2 linked regions of the Rhinolophus ferrumequinum genome follow. The main gene of each other region encodes a partner of the protein of the gene in region 2 in a complex. Links are inferred from orthologs where the notes say so. Each region holds a gene or a part of one and is shown on either strand. Other genes may lie near its edges.

Evidence for each region.
Region 1: the proteins of MCHR2 (region 2) and PMCH are in contact, whole or in part, in a cryo-EM structure (PDB 8WST), measured with the Homo sapiens proteins. The link is inferred for Rhinolophus ferrumequinum from reciprocal best matches to the Homo sapiens genes MCHR2 and PMCH. Residues at the interface, in NP_001035269.1 of Homo sapiens: His82, Gln92, Trp93, Gly96, Gly97, Thr110, Asp113, Gln117, Ile175, Phe177, Val181, Ser183, Cys184, Ala185, Phe186, Leu188, Thr189, Ser190, Pro191, Val194, Tyr197, Thr198, Tyr267, Gln271, Asn274, Met277, Glu278, Gln279, Pro280, Phe284; in NP_002665.2 of Homo sapiens: Leu151, Arg152, Cys153, Met154, Leu155, Gly156, Arg157, Val158, Tyr159, Arg160, Pro161, Cys162, Trp163.

The regions. Positions count from the first base shown.
Region 1 is NC_046293.1:17,177,113-17,188,186, reverse strand, and holds PMCH (pro-MCH), read right to left. Parts: upstream 4,405-11,074; 5' UTR 4,335-4,404; coding exon 4,095-4,334; intron 4,094-4,094; exon of another isoform or gene 3,744-4,093; coding exon 3,537-3,743; 3' UTR 3,514-3,536; downstream 1-3,513. Other genes in the region: PARPBP (PCNA-interacting partner), read left to right, coding at 1,875-2,010, 2,518-2,858. UniProt on the Homo sapiens protein: MCH may act as a neurotransmitter or neuromodulator in a broad array of neuronal functions directed toward the regulation of goal-directed behavior, such as food intake, and general arousal. May also have a role in spermatocyte differentiation.
Region 2 is NC_046286.1:54,607,800-54,620,469, forward strand, and holds the start of MCHR2 (melanin-concentrating hormone receptor 2), read right to left. Parts: upstream 4,944-12,670; 5' UTR 4,861-4,943; intron 1-4,860. UniProt on the Homo sapiens protein: Receptor for melanin-concentrating hormone, coupled to G proteins that activate phosphoinositide hydrolysis.

The sequences.
Region 1 (11,074 bases), on a different chromosome or scaffold from region 2:
TGAAACAAAAGAAAAGTTGTGTAAAAAGATACTGTCAACAGTTCTGGTTTCCCATATGGAAATAAAAGTTTTTAGATGACATTCCTACAGTAATGGTGTGATGTAATATAATATAAAGTTCATTTGATTAGCAAAATTCATTGACTAGCTTTGTCAATTGCTTTAATTCTGTATTTGTGGAATTAATAAAGCCCAGAAAATAGTTAAAACTCAGTTATATTTTAGGGCATCTCATGATGGAAACTATATAATAGTAGTTGCATTTGTGTGCATTCATGAAGATGTGAGGTTGTCGTTCCATCCATTATCGTGCCTACTCTGTTTGACTTTTTTAAAAAATAGTTTTGATCTTTTACATTTTCGCATTTTTTTTCAATTTTGTGTATTTTTGTGTCTGAATGGAAGGTAAACTCCAGTGGTCTAATCTTCAAACAAATTAAACATAATTTTTAGTGATTTGGGAACTAGAGGCTCTCATAGATGGCATTAGTGAGAAAGATATAACGTTTGTCACCCTGAGAAAAATCTGCTTTTTGAAGCAGTTGGACCAGAGAAAATTCTAATTGTTTTTCTAAACCATGATCAGTGGATTTACTGCCATTATCTTTGCAAATATCTGAGTAGGTTAATACATTATATAATATATGTATTAACATTAATACATTATACATGTATTAATATATGTATACATTATGTAATTATGTAATATGATATATTAATATCATATATATTATATCTTATATATATGATATACATTTATATATATATTTCTATATCATATATATTGTGTCATATATATGATATATATAAATATATATGTATATCATATATAAGATAATATATAACTACTGAATATATAATATAAAGTCATGCTGTTTTAGATTTCATGAACTATATCAATAAATGTTCTGTAAGTAATCTTCAGCATAATATAGTTATACTTTGAAGTGTTAGTCCTCTTTATTTAATCATTTATTTGAAATTTAAACTTTGTCTACTTCTGAAAAGGATTTATAGCTAGCATTACTACACATCAGCTGTAATTGTTGAAATATGCATTATCTGCATAGATTACTTTGTTCTGAAATTAATTTCTATCCCCCGAACAGCCACTGGTTTTATGTTTGCAGAATACATTTCCAAAACTACTTTCTAATTTTTCTCCTTTTCATGTTTGAAGATAAATGCAAGAGTATATTTTAAATAGTCACCCATTAAATTATATGGTCAAGTTTTCCTAGAATTATATATTTGAATCATCTTTCTTATTTTCCTAAATATTCCAAGTTTTTAATCAGTAATGTCTTTCAGTCACCATTTTGTTGAATCTTTCAGTTTATTTCTTTGATAGTTTTCTATTTTTGTTTCTTTTGCCCTCTCTTAGTTCTCTTTTTTATCTGAGCATTTCTCTCTTCCTCAATTTCTCTAATTTCTTGAATATCATATGTGGTTTTTTTCCTAAAAGAGTTATACTTTGTAATTTTTAGGAAGAACTGTATTTTTCTAGGATTATGTATATCATGTATATTATCATTAAACTTATAAAACTCATTTTCTAAAACAGCTCAGACACAGGAGTGTGTAAAAAAGTCCTCTGAAGAGTCTAAAATTGATCTTCCTAAGTTGTTACAAAAATATGAAAAATATGCATAAAATAGATATTACTAAAGTGAATAAAAATGCTAGTTGTAGCAATGAATATGAATTTGCAAACTTTGAAACCTCAATGGTTAAATGTTCCCAATGAATAATTGACTTTTTAAGGGAAATTTTTCTGATACTGTCCTTACTATACAGTATATTTCTATCTAGATGAAAAAATAAATTCAAATAAAGAATAAATTGCATATTTTCTGTTTTCTTCCTATTACCAGATGAAGCAAACCTTAATTAGATCCCAGTTTTCTTGTACTTATAAAGATGACTGCCTGATAAGCAGGAATACATGGAATAATGTTAATTCCGCATCAAAGCCATTGTGTGTTCCTCACATGGAAAATGACTGTTCTGGTAACTGACCTTATTTGAACAATTAAATAACATTAATTCTAGTGTACTAATTGATTTTACAAAACTTAAGTGAAACTAGATTGTTTTTTGCAGAGTGTAAAATGTGAAATGTAAAGGTTTATATCTTCAAAGACGGGTTTATATTAAAAATTAAGTACAACTTTATAGATAGGAATAGGACACAGTTTGATTTAACTAAATGTATTTAAGAAATAACTTGTAGCATTTAAGGATTAAATGTCATACATTCAAACAAAGCAAGTATTTGTTGTTTGTGGGGATGAAAAATGATATGGTAAAATGAAAAGTAATGTGGTAGTAATGTAGTGTATTTGTTAATCATGTAATTTATTGTATTATTTGTACATTTTATGCAATGTACAAATGACTATGCAAATCATACATTTTTAAAATTCTTTAGCCATTTTTAAAGTTTATTGTAAAATTCTCATGTGTAATAATACTAAATATTATATAATTCCTTCCTCTTTTCATCTTGCATAACAGAAGGTGTAAATTCATCTGTTGGAAGACCAACAATTGGAACAAGTTCTGGAAATGTTCATCTGGACAGAAGTAAAAATGAAAAAGTAGAAAGAAAATCAACTAGTCAGGCAGGAAAGAAAAGCTCAAAAAGGAAACAGGTGGATTTAGATGATGAAAATATTCTCTGTGATAATGGAAATGAGCCACCTCGACATAAAAATGTTAAGATACCTAAGACATCAAACGATTTGCAGAATAAATTGGATGGCAAACTAACTAGAGTGGCAAAAAGCAACAAGTGTTCCGCCAAGGACAAACTGATTACTGGCCAGACAAAGTTAACTCAGTTTTTTAGACTATGAATTTGTCTTTTATGTGCTTCAGATTTATGGACATGCATAAACCGTTCACCAAAGACATTACTTAATTTTTAAGAGACCAAGGTGTAAATTATGATGCTTTATTATTTTGGTCTGGAGTGTATGTAAGGTTAGTATGTTAAGCATTGTTTAAAAAATACTACTAAGTCATAATTATGCAGAATATTCACAAAGTTTAATGCACAGATAAAGCATATCATTTAGGTTACTGATATCTCTTAATAGTATTTTCATTTAAAACAGACATTTAAAATAATGCAAGTCATAGTAACATTAAGGGCTTTGGCCCCCACAGGCAATTAAATGATTTTGTTTTCTTCTGAAAAGATGACTTAGACCACCAGGTATCAGACTTGCCAACACGGTCGATAGACTCTTCCCAGCATACACCTGAGCACTGATGGAAAAACAAAAAAGTTTTAATTGTTTAAAGGACTATTGTCATCACACAAAATTTATCAGAAATAAAAGAATGGATCTAGTATAGCTAATTCTGAGTAAGTCAAAATTATAATACTAATAAATGCTTTTTAATCCCACATATTTGGCAGGGATCACATATCAAGTGTCACTGAACCATGGTCTTATTTAATTTTGTTATGATTGGATCCAAACTCAGTTAAACTCTGTGTTAAGATACAAGAATTGAATTTGAAAAGACTACTCACTGTCAAAATCTCTCCTTCCTATAGGAAATTTAGCTGAGTTTTCTTCATCCCCCATTTCTCTCTTTTCTTGTGTTGATTGAGTATTCTGAACTCCATTCTCAGCTGGAAAAGCTACAGATCCTTTTAGAGCAAGATAAGGTTTTATAGCCAGATTCAGTGGCAGACCATTATTTAGGAAATTATGTTTGGATCCTGCATTCTGTAAAGAAAAGGTTGATTTGTGTTTTAGCTGTCTTATTGGGAATGGTAATATAATACAATAGCATGATATTCTTATTGATCAATACAGAGATGCTCCATACTGTTTTGCCTTTAAAAAAGTACTTTCGATACACATTTGTTTTTTTTTTTTGGGGGGGGAACTTTTGGATAAGAGTTGTTGTCCAGGATGAAAGAACAACCTGGTATGTATGAAATTTCATCAATTGTCCTAATGCATATTGTGACTATTTGCACATATTTCTGTTTATAAAAGTATTGACTTTTATATGATTCATAAAAATCATTCAAATATACATTGAAATAAAGGATAAGTTATATTGCCACTTACCTTTGAATTTTTGTTTTCCTCATCGTTCATGAAACTGCCCTCATCATTTTTATATTGTTCCAGGGAAGGAGCAACGACTGATTTTTCTGCAGTATCTTCCTTCTGAAAGGCTTTCCCCAGCCTAAATGTATTAAATACCATGTCATCTTCTAAATTTCTTATGGACTTCGATGCTGAAAGGAAAATGCCTTGAGAAAGCAAAGAAAAAGTTATTATTAATAGGTAGGAAGAGAGACTCATTTTTGCTGTTCTTAGTTCGATGTTTGCATAGAGGCAAACAAGGATGTGTAAAATGAAGGAAATTCCTCAACATGCTTCATCAATGATTCCTACCTTTATATATTTTCTAGCTTGTATAGAAAGCACTTCAAAGACAGACTCATCATGTCAGAAATGAGTCATCAAATAGGGGCTAATCTTTTGTATAACTGCTAATACCTTCATTGTTTAGGTTTTAGTGGCATATTGTTTATTTTCAGTGTGCATTTTCTCAGAATCTGATTAAGATCTTTGCTAGAATGCTTCCTGTTGAGTAGATTATAGTCTCTTGAAAATGTTACTAAGGAAGATCACAGGATACCAGGCTCTCCACATTCTTATTGTTTCTTTCCGTATGTTTTCTGATTAAGTAAGATATTAAAACCAAAGTTATTTTACTAAATGATGATAAGGATAAAAGTTTTATTTACTGTTAATCCTGGTTAAATTGAAATAAGCTTCAAAAAGGATTTTCTTTCATAAATACTTGATCTAGTCTTCGGTGATTAATGGGGGTATGGGTGTCAGTGTCAACAAAAAGTCATTGATGCTGTATCTCAAATTGACCTGTCAGACGTGTTTTATCTCTGCATTTACAAAAGGATATTACTGATATTTAGCAATTAATGAATAAGAAATTCATGAAGAGACTATTTATGTGCTCCATACATATTAATTTTGGAAGATGAGTATGTTGTATGATTTTTAATTAAACGTTTCAGAGTTAATTCCGAATCCTGAGCCCACCAAGTAAGAGAATACATTCTTGTACATGTATTCTGGTACCTATGTGTGAGAGTTTTTCTAGGATATATTTCTAGTAGGTAGTGAATTGCTGGGTCATGGAGTATGTGCATGTTCAGCTTTACTGATAACAAAATGTTTACAGAGTAGTAGCAAACAATTTATGCTCCCACCAGCAGGGTGTGAAAGTTCCCAATGCTTCCTGTCCTAGCCAACCGTGGGGTATCATGTTCTCCTTTTAATCTGTATTTGTCTAATTACCAAAGAGGTTGAGTGTCTTTGCATATGTTTATGAGCCATTTATCTTTTCTCTTACGTAAAATGCCTTTCAAACAATATTAGTCCGTTTTCTTTTGGGTCATTTGTCTTTTTCTTATTGATTCATGGGAGTTCTTTATACATCCTGGATATTCTTTGTTAGTTATGTACCTTGAATTCATTAACGTATGTCTATATATTCTAAAAGTTTAAATGTTTTGACTTCTTTCACATTTAAATTCTCACTTTTTCTGGAATTTTGTGTATGATATAAGATGGAGATACAATTTTACTTTTTCCAAAAGTCCTTACACATTTCTTGAATAATTCATCCTATAGCCCCAACCCCAATAATCTGCAATGCCATCTCTGTAATATATCAGGTTTCTATATATGTGTGAGTCTCTTTCCGAACTCTTTATTCCACTGCCAAATCTTCAGTCTTAATTATAACTTTAAAATAAATTTTGACATCTGGTAGGACGAGGTTCTCAGCCCCCTAGTCACCTATCAGTTTTTTCTTCTATGCAGTTCCTTGGCTATTCCTGTCCATTTCTTTTCCATATAAATCTGAATATCAGCTTTTCAAGTTCTATGAGAAACCTTGATGGGAATTGCATTGGTTCTATAGATAGATTTTGGGAGGGAATTGACAGCCTTAAGATAATTTATTTTGTTATCCATGAACATGGTACTTTTCCATATTTATTTAGAAATTTAATCTTTTAATAGCATTTTACTGTTTTCTTCATAAAGGTCTTCTATGTCTTTTGCTGAAAGAATTATAATTATAATTTAATTATACTTAAACTCCTTATTTTTAATTATTCTCAATGGTATCTTTTAACAAATTTTTCCTTTTCTAGCATTATTGCTGGTCTGTATACATGTAATTTGCTCTTACATGGAAAGTTTACATCTAAACTTTTTAATTACAATTAATTTATAGATGTATTAATTCTTTGGGGTTTACCATGAAGACAATTTACATAAATAATAAAATAATGGCATTTTATTTTCTCCGTGCAAGTCCTTCTGTATTTGTGTGTGTGTGTGTGTGTATGTGTGTGTGTCTATCTTTGTGTGCATATACTTGTACACTGACCAAAACTTCCAGTAAATGTTGGAAATGGAGATAACAGACAGTTTTGCAGAATTACTGATTTACGGAGAGTGCTTCTAATGTTTCACCATGCTATGGAGCATGCTATTGGCTCTAGGTTTTTTATAGACATTCTTTATAACTTGCAGGATGTTCTCTTCTATTTCTGCCTTATTAATAGTTTTTTTCTTGAATTATTGAATGTTATTGAATACTTTTTGTGTATCTATTAAGATGATCATTATCATTTTTCTCTTTAATGTAGTAAATGAAATGAACAGATTTTTCTCATGTTAAACCAATCATGTGTTCATGACACAAACCTTTTAAAAGGTTATTGGGTTCAATTTGTTAATATGTGATTTAGTACATTTTGTATTTATTATCATGAGTGAGGTTGATTGGTAATTTCCCTTTCTTATATTGCCTTTGTCTGGTTTGGCAATAAGGTTGGACTAGCTTCATAAAATGAACTGGGGGGCAAGGTTTATTCCTTTTCTGTCTTGTAAAAAACTATTTGGATTTGATGTTTTTGTGGTGAAATTTTTTAATGTTTAGCTTCTCTCTCTTTTTCAGTTTGTGTTAAGAATTTAAGTTGTTGTAGAATATGTCCATTTCACTTGTTTTCAAATTTGCCAGTATAAAGTTATTAATAATATTGTCTTCCAAATATTTTAAGCCTCAGTACATCTGTACTTGTGTTTAATTTTAATTATGTTTATTTGTGATGTCTTCCTCTCTGCTGCTGTCTTTTGATCAGGCTTGCTAGAGGTTGATGAATTTTGTTAGCCATTTCAAAAATCTAATATTTGGCTTTGTTGATCTTCACTATATATTTTTTCTATTTCACTAATTTCTTCTTTTTATTATTTCTTTACTTTTTCTGAGGTTTATTTTGCTATTTTTCTAACTTTTTAAATTGGAAACGTTAGTCATAATATTTAGACTTTTTAAAACAAATCAGCATTTAAGACTATAGGTTTCCTTTTATGTATCATTTTTGCTAACTCCTACAATTTTGATAGGAAGAATATTCAGTGTTTAGTTCTAAGTTTTTATAAGTTTCACTATTATTTCTTCTTTGACCCATCAATTACTTAGATATTTGTAACATTCCAAATATATGGGAATTGAAATTTTGGGGGAGAGTACCAAGTTCCAACTAACTTGGGTTTTTGTCAGAAATCTTAACATGTACAGTATTTGAAATCTGCATTAGATACAGTCTTGTGTAATTAATTATTTTCAACTGTTTTTGATGTACAAATAACAATTTCATGTGGCTCATCATATACAAACTTGCCTTGTGTCCTATAAAATTTTCACTTTGCATAAAAAGTTCTATTCGTTTTTAAAAAGAATATGTATACAGTATTGTTTAGAGCATGGTTCTGTATGTATTCACAAGATGAAACATGCTAATATGTTGTTTAAATCTTCTGTGTCTTATTGATTTCTTGTCTCATGAGCTATCAATTACTAAGAGAAATGTCTGTAACTCTTTTGCTATGATAATAGCTTAGAATCTAATTTGTTGTAGTTCACAATTTTTGCTTTATTTAGTTTTGACTTATGTTATCGGACATTCTAATTGGAAATTGTTTCATTTTCCTCATAAACCAAATCATGTAAAATGACCCGCTCTAGCTTTAATAATGTGTCTATTACTATCACTTTTTCTGTATCTTTTTGTTTTATATGTGTCTATTACAAATATATAGCTGAATTTGGAATTTTTAGTCTGACAATCTTTATCTTTTACGTGGCGAGTTTAGTCCGTTTATATTTATTCTGTTTACTGAATTACTGAGATTCAGTGCTACTATTATAGTTTGTGAATTTTATTTTAATATGTTCCCTTCTCTTGCCCTTTATTGCCTTCTAGTTTATGTTTAAGTTTTCATTGTTTTGAATGTACCCTAGACATTTTAATATCATCCTCAGTTCTTTACATTTAAAGTTAACTAGTTTTTTTGTCCTCCTCCCAAATAATGTAAAGACCTTAGAATCCTTAACTCTAGTCACCACTATTTCTAATTTATGTTATTATTTTCTAAGATTTAAGTTCTATCTTGAGTTTTTATTGAACAAATTAAAGATTATTTTGTTTTATACAGTTACCATTATTTTCAGATTTACCTACAAGCTTACCATTTTTTTCTCACCATTGTGTTTTACATCTGAGATCTTTAACAACCATTTATCTTCTTTCTGAAGTACGAGGTGTGATCAAACAATATGGTGAATGTTTAAATAAAAAAAATTAGTACAGTAAAAGACATATTGCCATTAATCTCCCTCAAAATGCTCCCCCTCATTTCAAACACATTCATCCCATTGTTCTCACCACTTTCTGAAGCACTTCTGGAAGTCCTCTTTTGTGAGTGTCTTTAGTTGCACTTATTGTGGCTGCTTCGATGTCCTGAATCATTTTGACTTTGGGGAAGAGCCAGAAGTCACACGGTGCCAGATCCAATTAATAAGGTGGATGAGGACACACCGTGATGTTTTTATTTGATAGAACTTGCCGTACCAGGAGCGATGTGTGACATGGAGCGTTGTCATGATGGAGGATGATTTACGGCACATTTTTAAACACATTGTTAGGTCAGCTACGGGCATGGTCAAAGCGTCCAGGAGCCAAGTCATACCCCTCTGCCAAGTCAGACCCCTGCTCGCATGATGGAAACTGGTGCCCCTGGCATTTCCCGGAAAAGGCAGCAGACCTTTGGTGCGATAAACAACTCCGGATGCAGCCGCTTGCGCCCGATCTGCGCTGGGGGGCCTGCCCAACTGCCACCTCACTCAGCCAAACCCCACCCCAAAAATCACATATATGCCTCCCTCGCTCTGCCCTGGGCGCGACTTCACCGGCCCCATCTGCGGGACCGGTGAACCTCGCCCTGGGAAGCAGAATAAAGCACTCACCTTTCTCAACCCTCCTGACTCTCTTAGCTTCATTATCTTGTCGCAAGCCTCACACACATCTTCTCTGAACTGTAGTTCACATACTGTTACTAAGTTTCATCGCGCTGTTTCCCGTATTGAAGATCCTTGCCTTTCCGTTGGATGGCACTCGGCAGCAGTATTCACTGTATTTTGTGATCACAACAGAAACGCTCAGTGTCACACATCACTTCTAGTGTGGTAATTTCTGTCAAATAAAAACATTACGGTATATTCTCGTGCACCTTATTCACCAAATTTGGCATCGTATGACTTCTGGCTCTTCTCCAAAGTCAAAATGACCATGAAAGGTAAACGTTTTGAATTGATTCAGGACATTGAGTCAGCTATGACAGCGCAACTAAAGACATGAAAGACGGCTTCTAGAACTGCTTCAGAAAGTGGCAAGAACGATGGTATAAGTATGTTTGAAGCGAGGGGGAGTATTTTGAGGGGGATTAATGGCAATGTGTCTTTTACTGTAATAAATTTTGTTATAAACATTCACTGTATTTTCTGATCACAGTTCATACATCTTTCTGAAGTATTCTAAGTTAGATGCTAACTTAGAGTCTGTTAGTAATGAACTAAGGTTTGTTTTGTTTTAATTAAATGTATTTTGCTATTCTTGAAAAACAGTTTCAGTGACTATAGTTATTCTGTTGACAATTGTTTTTTCTTAGTACTTTATTATTTCAGTTTCTTCTGGTTTTCATTGTTACTGCTGAGAATTCAGCTGTCAGTTTTAATAATGATTCCTTTATAGATAATCTGTATTCTATCTGGCTGCTTTTAAAATCTTCTCTTTGGCTTTGATGGTCTGCTTTGATGTTTCACATGATGTGTCTGGATTTCTTTTAATTTATGCTGGCGTGCATTCTTGAATCTGAAGGTTTGTGTTTCTCATGAATTCTGGAAAATTATTAGTTATTATTTCTTTGAATATTGCCTCTCCCCTGTTCTCTATTTCTCATTCTGGAATTTCATATATAGATACATCTATATATAGATATATATGTATGTATATCTATATATACATATAGATATATATATATAGATATGTATATCTTGTCTGCTCACTTTCTTCTCTGTATCTTATACCCTCTCTTTCCTACATTCTCTTTTTCTCTGTGTGCTGCATTTTGAACAACTTTTTCAGAGTTATATTCCAGTTCACCAATGCACTTTCACTTTTAACTGATCTGGGGTTTAATCTGTGTATTGAACTTTTAAATTAACTTATTTTCAAAAGTTCTTGGTTCCTTTTCAGATCTGCCTGGTCAATTACAGTTTTATATTTTTTATTCAGCACATTTTAAGTCTCTTTTATTATTTTAAATCTATAAAACATTTTTATTTTTAAACATTAATTTTATATTTGTATCTAATTATTCCAGTGTCTGCTGTATTTGTCTATCTGATTCTGCAGTTTGTTATTTCTGTTGATACTGACTCATGGTGTCTTCCTCATGTGTTTAGTGAATTTTCATTTTCTGCATATATTTATTGAACTGTATCCAAAGGGATTCTTGAAATTCCTGTGTTTGCTTCTGCCAGGCACCTGGAGCAGTACCACTACAGTACTACTTTAAACTAAAATTTGTGCTTGAAGCTTTTCAGGTCACAATCAGTGCAAATACCAAACTAAGTAAGTATGACTTTGTCATTAGAA
Region 2 (12,670 bases):
GAGGGTCCAAGATCATATGTACAGAAATACCGGCAAATTTAAAATTACTTCCTAGATAATTCATAAAAAAAGGAAAGATACAAAAGCCAACACGGAGAAGTAAAATGTTAATTATAATAATAAGCAAAATTTATTGAACGTAATGTGCCAGACACTATACTCAGTTCCTTACATACCTTATCTCATTTATTTCTCACAATAATATTCATAGGCAAATAGTACTATATATTTATTTTGAAAAAGGAATGCTAATGCTATGAGAATAAGGACACCGCTCAGGTCACCCTGTTAGTGAGTGACAGGGACAAAGATTGAACCCAGCTCTGCTGCCTTGAACGCTGTGTGGTTGACCTTTGATATCACCCTGAAAAGATTGTGAAAACAATCACACATGGTCCCTGAAATGTTTCCTCCCTCTTTAGAGGAGGCCCAAACTGCTCCGAAAAGCTGCTTGGACATTGTGTTTATAGATTGTGATTACTGCTTGAAAAGAACCAAGAAATACTTTTAGAAAATTATGTGACTCTGATATCGAAGCTCTTTATACAGAACAACCTGTAAAAATAAATTCCCCTTATAACTTTGAAACTATGAAATATTTTAAGTGGAATATAGGCAATGAAATACCTTAATGGTATAAAATTTTATGCCATTTTTACTTGAAAAGATGTTTTCATATGTGTTCTGTGAAATAATCTTCCCCAAAAAGAACAGCTTCTCTTGTAAATTTTTAAAGAATTTTAGTTGGAGGAAAAATTCACTGAGACTTTTAAAAAGAGTGGCAGTACATGGTTTTTATTTTTACATTTTCAAGAGTAGAAGCATTATTCATGCAAATATATTTGCAAAAGTATACTTTTGCAAGTACATTAGCCTATATATATAAGCCTATATACTAAAAACAAACAAACAAAAAAACAAAAAAACAAACTCAGTTCCATCTTAATGAAACTGAATGATCAGAGAATTATAAAATAAGTAACCCAATTATTTAGAAAGTTTGGGACATCAGGTATATTTAGGACAGGGTGGAACCCAGTTGATGACACTTCAATGTTTTTTTGTTTTGTTTATGGAATTTATTTTGAGTTTTTAAAAAATTATAATTTGCTATTTGCTTGTTTTTAAAGAGTAGGTAACAAAATTATTACATAAACAATAAATAATAAATTCAGCTCTATCACATAACTTCATGGAGAAGAGGGCATTTGTAGCATAGAGGGGAAGTCATTCAGAAGGTGCCTGCAAGATTTCCAGAACTTCTCTGTTGATTTCTCTGCTCTCATTTCATTTCTTATGAGGCAATAATTTCATTTCTTATGAGGTGATTTTAATGAAGGCATAGAAATTACGATGGAAGGATCTTTCCCACCCTATACAGGAGGCTGAACAGTGTACATAAGAAGATCCAAACCTGTACTGTAGAGTATTTTTATAAGTTTATTTGAGCCCAAACTGACAATACTGAGAAGCAAAATATTAAATGTTCTAATGTTTTAATGCTTTGCAATGTAATTGTACTTAACTTATATCCTTCAAAATTAGGGTAATTAGCTAGCTGCTAAATGTATGAGGCTTGAGTTCAGTGTGGGAAAGCTTTGCCAGTGTTTTGCATGCTTAATATAAATCCCCAAGGATAAAACTCCTCCCGTGAAGCAAGGTTTCAATCTAGGTCTCTCAGAATACTTGAGTCGCAGGATAAACACACTATTTTCCGTGTGTGTGTGTTTATTGCAATAGGTGATTTGATAATCATGCTAAATACTGGGATCTATGAACAACTCTATTAGACTTGAGTACATAGAAAGACTTCAGAATTTTATTTTAATTAAATTAAACGGGCCACAAAGTTATTCTGTATATAATGAAACACATGATTGTGCTGCACGGTAATTAGCTGTAAGTCATCAGAAACTTACAAAATGATGTCAATTTGTCAGCATTAATATTACACAATGAAATCTCATTTTACAAAACTTCTCTGTAATCATAAAGTTTTCCTTGAATAAGAACCATTCTCCCTCTTCTTTCTTTCTCTGTCTCCTCTTTTTCCTTTTCCTCCTTCTCATTCCTGAGACAGAGGGACCCAAATTCTGCCCAAGCATTTCCACTCATTCACTCTTTCCTTCCCGCCATCGTGAGGGGATCCAGCTGCTTGAAAGGACCAGACCCTGAATTTTGCAGACTTTGAAGCCATGCTGAGTTTGGGTCCTTATATGTGCTTCTCCTGCTTTGCTTGGAGGAGCCTTTATAACATCTTCAATTGTGTGGGTGTGGGATTGAAAGAAGAAACCCAGGCATGAGGTGAAAGGGTGTACCCTTGGAGAGAAAGGACACATGCCAATGGTTCTGGAAACCTAGAATTTGACAGTTTGGGATCAGAGGATTGAGTGTCAGGATGGAGAGAATGGGTGGGGAAAGGAGGGGAGCAGAGCAGCCTATAGGGTCCAGTACTTCTGTAAAAGACTCTAGGTGTCTATACATGTCCCTGGGGCATCGATTTTGGCAGATTTAACCCAAGCTCCTCCTCCTCAGGAAAGCTGGGAGATTGAGAGTGAGAACAGAGCCACTCTAGTTTTTCTCACCAGCCTTTACAAGAGAAGCATGTGTACCTTCTTGGAGGAGTCACACAGATTAGGGCCTAATTTTAGCCATGTCACTTTTTAGCTGTGTGTATTCAAGTACCTAGGTAGTCAGCGACCTCTCTGAGCCCTACTTTTCCCTCTGATGGTTTCCTTATTGCTGAAGTGGGAATAATGCTCTCTACTTTACATAGTTATTGTGAGGATTTAGTGAAAGGAAGCACCTAAGCATTGCTTAAAGCAGAGTAGGCTCTTGACAAAATTTGTTTTCTTTCCCTGAGGCACAAACAAAGGCTTCCCCCTTTGCCTTCCCCGTCCCCCAGCTTTCCTCAATTTCACCCACCTGTATTTATTTCATTTCTCTTCTGAGGATCAGAATATTAAAAATAAATGCACAAGGGATTAGGGGTGAGTACGTTTGAGACAGAAGATAAGCGACAGCCTTTGGTTCCTTCCAGCTGGGTTGCAGGAAGGAATGTCCCAGTGGGGGAGGGAATTCATGGTGAAAGGCAGAGGATCCTTCAGGGAACAAAAACATTTCCCATCCTTTGTCTTTTGTGGAGTGGGAGCTGTGACTGTCCTGCCCACTGCACCTAGGGCCTCTGACAGACCAGACACTGCCCCACCATCAGATCTTAGAGGTTTCTAAAGGTCCTGTGCAGGACAGCTCTGCTGGTGATTTGGGGGCCTTTGGTAGGACAATTGCTGCACCTGACACATTTAGCCCATCAGTTGTGTTAAGTGCTACAGGCTTGCCTCTCAAAACTGGACTTACCACTATACTGCAATAGTCTTCCCCCAGATCCATTTCTGATGTTTGAGGAAAGCCAAGCTGATATTAAAAATGAAATTGGTTCTCTCACAGCATCTTAGACCCACACAACCATTCTTGGCTCCTCTTTAAAGTACCTGCTGGTTTTCCTTTCCTACTCAATCTCTGTTTAACAGTCTTCATTAATATTTCAGAAACATTAGGTAGCCTGTGCATTGATGGTACTTTATTTCCCAGGCTAGAAAAACACTTTTCTTGGAATTTGATTGCTTTGTGCAGTTTAACAACCTGTGCTAGGCTAAGAGTCAAACATTATTGCCCTTGTAATTATCTTGTCATAGCCAAGAGATGATAGATGAGGGTATGTCTGCTCTGCAAAAGGCCAATTCAGTTTTGACATTAACAGACGTCGTGATCCAAATAAAATACAAACAATGGGCTATCAACTCAATCCAATCATATCCAGTCAGTCATCACCCGCTCTCCACATCGCTACCCACTAAGTTATACTGATAAATAGGTTCTTTGAGTAGGAACTGCAATATTAAAAAGTTAGAAAACATTCAGTGAAAACACCCCACCCCCTAATTTGCACTGAGCTAGTAAGTTCAGTGAAATTTCTGTGCATGCACCAAAATGAAACAATTCCATTTTTAGGACTGTTTCTTTAGTTGTAGCTTCAGAAGCGTTTTAATAAGAAGATTCCACTACAAATAAAGATATCAGACTTTGGGGCAAAAACCTCATTAAGAAGTAGAAGAAAGCACATTTCTCTTTCATTGCTAACAAGCTTTTAGAAAGAATTTCTCAAAGGCTCTAAAAAGCCCCAGGCTGATATGCAAACGCCCCGCCCCCCCTTCCCACTCTCCCCGGTTCCTTGACAGCCGCTAACTTCCTAAGGGCATCCAAGGAGCACAGACGACACTGCAAGCTTCAAGTGACTTATGAGTAATATCAAGTTAACCGAGTGCTGAGGGGGCTTCAAAGCAGGCCGCCCAAAGGCGCTAAAGAGGGACGCAGGGATTTACCTGGGTGAGGAACTGTATTTAGCTTTTCTAGTTCAGAAAAGGCCTCCTGAACTGTTAGGAAACACAACCCAGTTATCAATCCCTCGCCTTCGCCACTCTATTTCCGCCTATTTACTCCAGGAACGACCTGGGTGCACCAGCTCCGCGCCCTGCAGCTCTCTGAGCTGAGGCTGCTCCTTCCTTGAGAGCCATCTGCCTTTCTTGTCCCACCTGTATTTCCATTTTCTTGGCTGAATATGAAAGCAGCCGGCCCTCCGCCCCACTCCATTCCGCAGGTGCCCCCACAGAAGCACACTCGGTACCTTCCAGGGCTGGAGAGAAGATGCTCACAGAGATCGGACACCTACCGATGACCCGCCCCTGGGGAGCAGCGGCGGGTGGAGCCCGCGCCCGTCGGTCCCCCTGCGCTGCCCGCCGCACCCTGGGGCGCCCCCTCTCCGCGCTGCCGGCCCCTGAACTCAGCACGCAGCAACGTCACCTGAGTGCTCACAGTGCTCCCACCCCCGCGGTGCCACGGCGGCCAGCAGCCCGCACGCCCTTCTCTGCGGGGCTGCGGGCCGACCGGATCAGCTGCGGAAAGGTGGAGAGGAGTAGGAGGGTCTGGATCCCGACCGCAGTCTGAGACCGATTGGGAACCCACCTTTTCTCCATTTCCAAAGGGGGTGTCAGAAGAAAATATAAAACAACAACGGCCCAGCCCCAAACGGCGGTCTTACTCTAGCCACTTAAAGCGTGCTTCATCCAATCAGCAATCTGATTGAGCGCCTATGGTTTGCCCTGGCGCTCTTCTAGGAGTTTGGGAGGTCGTAGAGAATAAAATGTTAACACATCTCTGCTCTCAAGAGCTTGTTTTATTCAAGTGAGTGTGGTAGTCACGTAGGTTCCTGTGAACCTTTGTAAGTGCTTTCGGCAAAGGAGTGAAGCAATAGAAATCCAACCTTCTTTTTATTTCAGCAAATGTTTACTGATGTCCCGAAGATTCAAAGGAAGGAAGGGGGAGGGAGAGAAGGAAGGAGCGAGGGAAGGGGAAACCTGTAATTCCACCAAGGAACTAGTGGGAATTTTGGCTTAGCCTTCTTAAATCTCTTTGGTATCCCCCAAACTGTTAAGTCAACCCAGCAAAACTACTTGATAATGACTGCAAGCTTCATGTTTTCCCCTTGATCAAATCTATTGGCCTCAGTTGCTACTTAGCAAAATACGGTGACATTTGTAAAGCTGGAGCTGGATCATTTCTTCTTATCCAAGGGAGCCTCATAGGGTTTAGAGACAGACAGCCCGAATTCCATCCCAGTATCATCACTGACTATTAGGCGTATGACTTTGGGCAGCTTCCTCAATGTATCTAATCCTCAGTGGCTCCTTCTATAAATTGAGGGTTGTAATACTTTCCTCCTAGGGTTGCTGGGAGGCTTCAGGGGATGATATATGCAAAAGCACTGAAACTGGCCCGGCATGTAATGGTGCTCAATAAGTGGTCCCTAGGGTAATTAATTATGATTATAACACCTTTCAGAATCTTTTCTCCTTCTGTAATCTGAACGGTCAGAGTGCCTGGTGAAATGTCATGTATTTACACATTAAATTAAAAAAAATCAGAAAAACTTGAGAGATTGGCAAAATTGGCTCCAAAATTCCACAGATCAGACGTTTTAAAAGCAAGTATAGAGTCATTTGATTAAACATTTTAGAACTGGAGGGTACCTTAGAGTTAGTGTTTTATGCAAAAGTATACTGTCTCTAAATGAATATATGCCCCAAAATCTCTCAAAGAAAAACCACAGGAAGGAGCACGAGGAATGGAATTTAGAGATAATTTAAAGAGAGTTCAAAGTGGGAGACTTAGTGGCCAAGGTCCTAGAAGGGTGTGGGGTCTGTTCGTAAGTGTGAAGTGAGATTGCATGGCAGCATTTTTGAGGAAAGGGAAAAAAAAGAAAGAAAAACAGAAATCACCACCTCATCCATCTCTTAGGCTGATTCTTATCTGTTATTGAAACTTCTGTAATACCCTTGTCAAAAAGCATTTTGTATTTCTCTGGTAATATAAAAATGCAGTCCCCTCTGAGGTCATACACCTCACATTTTCTCCAAGTTAAATTCTTGAAGTTTATCTCGTTCAACTTTTTTACCCTGATCAGATTTTGAGTCTTTTCCAGGTAAACTCCAGGGTGGCTTCTCTTGCATTTCTTACTTGGAGGCATTCATCTTAAAAAGGCCAGAGTCTCTGCAATAATAATTTTGCCATTTCAATCCTTTGTTCCCGTGATTGATAATGATGATGACAATCAAATCCTATCTAACGGTGCACTCTACATGAAGATGAATAAATCTCTTTTTGTTGTTGTTGCCATATTGTAAAAGTTAAACCAATTTTTTTTCCTCGCCCAGTATGTTGCACTGTGATTTACAAGGTATTGGTAGCTAAAAGGTCTGTACTAGAGACCACTATTGAGGAAAACATCATCACATGAGATTTAATTGCATCCTTGTTTATGTTTGACAATTTCCACAGATGTTGATGGAGGATATGTGACCTCATCTTGTCTTGTGGTGGCACATTTATATATATGAGGTTGGTGCAAAAGTAATTGCGGTTTAAAAGGTTAAACATAATTGCAAAAACCAGAATTACTTTCCTACCAACCTACTACTTTAAAGTGTCATTATGAATATGATTTATTTTATAACAACTCTGGAAAGTACACAGGATGGGTGTTATCCCATTTTACTAATAAAGAAACTGAGATAAAAGTTAAAATAAATGATAGTGAAGTGAAGGCTGAACCAGGAATAGAATCCTGTCCAGTTCTTAACTCTAAACTGAGTTCTTTTGATGATGTCACCTGCTTTGGAGAGTGCTAGAGGAGCCAGAACTCAGAGTTAAAACTCTGCACCTGAAACATCTGTGTCTTTTTTCTCAGCAGGATACAGGGCTGGGGTTTGAGACAAACCATTTCACTGCTACTGGTGGTGTGTGACGGGAGCTGCTGCTGACCTGGTTTTGTTCCACTCTAGACCTAGACTTCTGACTCTGCTTATCTGGTAAATTTTCATCTGGTTCAAGAATTTTTGATGAGGTTCATTGATTCTGGTCTTATAAAAGTAACAGAAGGAATGATTGATGACTGATCACACAAGCTGATGGGAACGAGGTTCCTTATGCTCCATACATGTATATTCAGAGTGTACAAATACCCATTGGGGTTCTGGTGTCTATTTCTCTGCATTAAGGGACTATTCAGGGACATCACCATGCTGATCTGGCATGGCTTTCTTTTGAGGACCCTGGCCTGGATGTCACTTCTTTCCACAATCTGCCTGCTGTCAGCAATGCATTTACTCAAAGCACAGCTCTGAGAACTGAGTCCTAATCACCCATTTCTAGGAGGATCTGCCTCCCTCCTAAATGCTTTACAGTATTCTGGCTGAGGCTATGGAGAAGTGCTCTCTCCCTAAAACGAACACATAGTGTCCACATTCATTCTAGGGGTTGAATTCTTAATGAGCTGTGACAATACAAAGGACTTTATAAAGTCCCATTAGCAGGAAGGATCTTTCTCTTACAGCTATATGGTGGTGTATACCCATTCAGATTATGATATTTGAAAACGTCTCACAAATTGCTTCATCTCAGGGTGTTGCTGTTTGATGATATTTTGTGCCCACGAATATGTGCATTGCATAAGCACCAATGAGATATTGCAATGTTTCTGAAAGTGTACTCCACAGAACACTAGTGCCATGAGATGGTCTATAAACAAATGGTTTTATGGTCATGATAGATTAAATTATTGATCCCAGGTCTTTTACCCCTTCCTGGATCCCCTTCCTTGCAATGGCCTCATCGTGGACAGAGCATATTTTATCATCCCTTTCCTTTGGGCTTGGCCCTGTGACTTGCTTTGTCCACTTGAACGTGTGTTAGAGAGACAGTATGAGAATTCTAAGATTAGCACTTAAGAGGTATCATGCATTTTCGCTGCCTCTTTCGTACCTCTGCCCTTGTCTGAGAGGATCATGGTGTGGCTAGCTTGCTGGGCTGAGGAGGGTGAGAGATGTGTGGAATACCCAGATCCACAGACCTGCCGCTTAACGCAGAGCTGTTTTAGTCAAATTGCAGATCTGTAAGAATAAATGATGATTGTTTTAAGTCACTGAGTTTGACATGGTTTGTCATCCAGAACTATTGTGGCCATAGATGACTGATATAATGGTCTAAAGAGTTTGGAACACATCATATAATATATAACTCTCTCACTCCCCTTTTGAGAGTCATAATTCACATTGATGCATTAAAGGCTCTGAGAAGAACTGCATTAAACCATTACTTCCCAAACTTACTTTATTTTTATACCTTCCTATCACAGTAATATCTTATAGAACATGCACTTTGAAATTTTTAAAAATTACTAAGGGCCGTTTGTGTAAATTCTAGACTTGCTATTAAGAAAACTGAGTTGAACTTTTAGAACAGTTTGCAATGATTTCCAAGCTTTACCAATCAATTGGACTCTTTAAAACTTTGCTTATTAGTAAGCCTCCATTTACCTTCTTATGACTGCTGAATTTCACGTCAATGACTTACATTGTATGGCTCCAAATTTCTAAATGATTAAAAGTTATGTTCCACTGCTGATGACAGCCATATTTCAGAATGATTTTATAATCAATATAAGAACATTTATTTTTAAATCAATGACCAATGAATTAAATTGATCAGTTTTAATTACATGCATTTTTTTCCCAAAAATCACACATCTATTAAAGTTACTCAGAAACTATGTTCATGTCAAAATGAGAATAAATAACTTGAAATACTGGTTCATCCCATTTTTTCCACATTTTTGAGAAATGTGGAGCACATAGAGGAGAGCTCTTTTTCAAGCTTAGTCACAATGCCAAGCACCAAAAAAAAACAGGGATTTCAGAAAGTGTTATAAAGAAACAACGTTGAATGAAAATAACGTTATCTGACCTGCCGTAGTATAAAAATAACAAGTACTGTTTTAGGACAGATCTGTGCCTAAAACCTCATAATATTTCTGAGCTTTCGCTTCCTTATCTGTGACTCAGGGGTGATAGTATATATCTCAGTCCACTAGAGTGTAAGCTCTACCTGGCCCATAGTAAGTGCTTAACAAATAATTGTTGAATTTGTGGAATAAGTAAAGGTAGCTATTCAGCTTCCAATTTTCACTTTTCACCTAGTTCTATTAAAAGACCACAGTAAAATCAAGGAGAGATTGTAGAGGGTCCACTGGTTTGCTATGAGTTTCTCAATTCTGATTCTGACTGTTTTTACCTCTTTGTATTCCAAATGGCTATTACAAAGTTACAGTATCCTTATGTATTGAGTAAAAATAGCTCCATTATACAGGAAAAAAGGTGAAAAATATATGAGCAGGCAATGCTCATGATGCTTCCCCTGTGTATATTCATGTCATTGGTCATGTTGAAATGTTCGTCCATGTGAATGCCAGGATCTGACCACTCAGGTTTGTCTACAAACATGGTACCACCAAACATTCTTACTTTTTCTGTTTTTCAATGTTTTGGACCACACACACACACACACACACACACACACACACACACACGGTGCCAAAAAAATGTATACACATTTTAAGAAAGGAAAAAACTATGAAAATTGTAATACTCAATGTATACCAGTAACAAAAGATGAATACAAGTCACGTTTGACTTCTGCAATTACAAGAGGTGCTCAAAGTGGTTACCATCAGCCTCCAGACACTTCTGATTATGGTGAACAACTGCTTTAGCAACATTGACCAGAGTGTCCACTTGTATACATTTTTTTGGCACCCCCGGTATATAAGTGTACATTTCTGAAAAAACCTTTCCCTGTATTGTCAAAGAAAAAATTGTGAACATGTTAGAGTAGATCACCTATCAGGCTACATTTTTTTATGTAATTTCTCATGAAATGGATTGACATATTGCATATTTCACCGGGAAGCTTTCACACAAATATTACCCTAGAGAGTTGGAAGACCTCCAGAGCTTGAAAGGTGGTTTCTTGGAAAGGCAAATGCCTCATTGGCAATAGATTCTAGCACTAAATGCAATTCTCACTACTGACCACTTGGTGGCAGTGGCAACTAAGTGCCAACTCAAGAGGTCAGGGTACACACAAATATATGATCCCTAATTTCTCTTTATTCAAATTTTAGGACCTACAAGAGGTGTTCTGTCAATCCCATGAGTTAGGATAAACTTTGCTAATTGAGAAAAGAGGCTATAATAAAAATTTTAATAAGGTTCTTACTCTAGTTTATGACATTAGGATAGGCTCATAGTTAGGTGACACTTGGAAAGATGAATAATGAAAATTTCTGCAGTATTCTTTAATAATGTTTACCTACACTCCGCGTCACTCACACACTTTCTGGGCCATACCCCAGAACCAGTTATCATCCTGAACTTCTCCACCGCTGAAATCTGAAATGCTGCTCTCTGACCACAAACACCTATTGTCCTCTTTTCTCTCTTACTGCAAAGGTTATGTTCTCTCAGAGACGACAGTCTCTTGAGTTCTTATTCTCTTTACCCCTTGACTCAGTCCAAGTTCCAGGGTTAGTCCTGAAAATCCTCCCTCTATTAACCTCCTTGTCCTTCTTCGATACCCCTGTAAGGCTGTGTATCCTCCCGTGCCTATCCCTCTCCTCTTCTATATTTTCTAGCGTCCCTTAACTTGTAGTGGCCATAGAACCAAGTTCTCATCAATGAATGTAATAGGAAGTGATATCTGCATATTCCACCTTCCTTTTTAGAAAGAAAATTCCTTGCTCTAGACTTTCTCTTTTCTCTTCCCCATGAGCTGGAACACAGATGAAGGAGCTAACCAACTTTGACCGCACAGATGAGCACAGGATGGGAGGAACGTAGGTCCCTGAATAAACTCATGAGTCTGAGCCTCCTGGTCAACCTTGACTTTTCATCTTGTGAGTGTTAAGTGACAGAGAGGTAAAATTCTATTTTATGTAAGCCACTGTGTATTACGGTCTTTTTGTCATTACTGTTTAACCTTTACCCTAACCAATATAAGACCTACCTCTAGGAACCTCATGCCTAGATCAACCCAACTCTCTACCTCCTTCATGTTTGTAGGCCAAGAGCTTCCCAAGATAAGCAACATATGTACACTGATTACCTCCATTACATACAAACACTGACTTCCCCCTCCAGCTGGGCCCTCACACTGCCCAGTGGTCTTGTTGCACATCCTTAGTTGGCTCTCCTATTCTCCCTGGTAGCATTTCAACTCTTTCCTAAAACTATCTTCTACTTGACAGAAAAAACAGAAAAGATCAGGAAGTAACTCCTTCCACTTCTTATATCAAACATAATTACTTGCTTCTGTCCTAACATTTTAACCTCTTGTCATAATGGAATTCCTTCCCTTCCCTCCCTAAGGCTCATCCTTCCACATACCCTGGACCTCATGCCTTTCTACCTCCACGGGAACTCGACACCATCAGTTATCCTTTGGCTTTTCTGCACCATCAAAGATTCCTATCTACTCTTTCAAATCAAAATTTAAATATGTTTATTTCCCATTTCCTATTTTAAAAAGAACAATAATTCAAAACTTTGTTCGGATCCCATCAAGCGAATGCCCTATCTTTCATTCATAGTCACGTTCTTTAAAAGTTTTGACTATACTTGCTGCTTAAATATTCTGTCTATATATCTTTATCTATGTCTATATCTATGCCTATGCTTATGCCTATATTTATATCTATATCTATATCTGTATCTATATAATCTATACTGATATTTTGAAGAATGTTATTTAGAAACCAAAATCTGGTAGCGGATGCAGTGTTTCTATTGAATAAGTGGGACCTAATAAAGGCTTCCAAAGCTGACTTTTTTGGCACTACATTCACAAATACTTTGATGATAGGTTTATAGCTGTTTTGAGAACAAATAAACGGGGGAAAAGGGACAAAATCTTCCTTACAGAGAAAATTGCAAATAATGCATGTAAATATTATGCCCCCTCCCCAGGAACTGGAGCTTAATTTCCTTCTCCTTGAGTGTGGGCTGGGCTTAGTGACTTGTTCCAAAGAATAAAGTATGAAAAGAAAAAAAAAGTAACTTATAGTAGATAAATCTGGCAAACATTACCTTAATCAAGTGAGTAGTATTGACATCACTAGTGTTGTGTTGATATCACATGATAATTCATATTGATATCACATGCTCTCTGACACTAAGTGATGAGAAAGGTACTTCATGTGTGTAATATTCTTCTCTGAAACCCA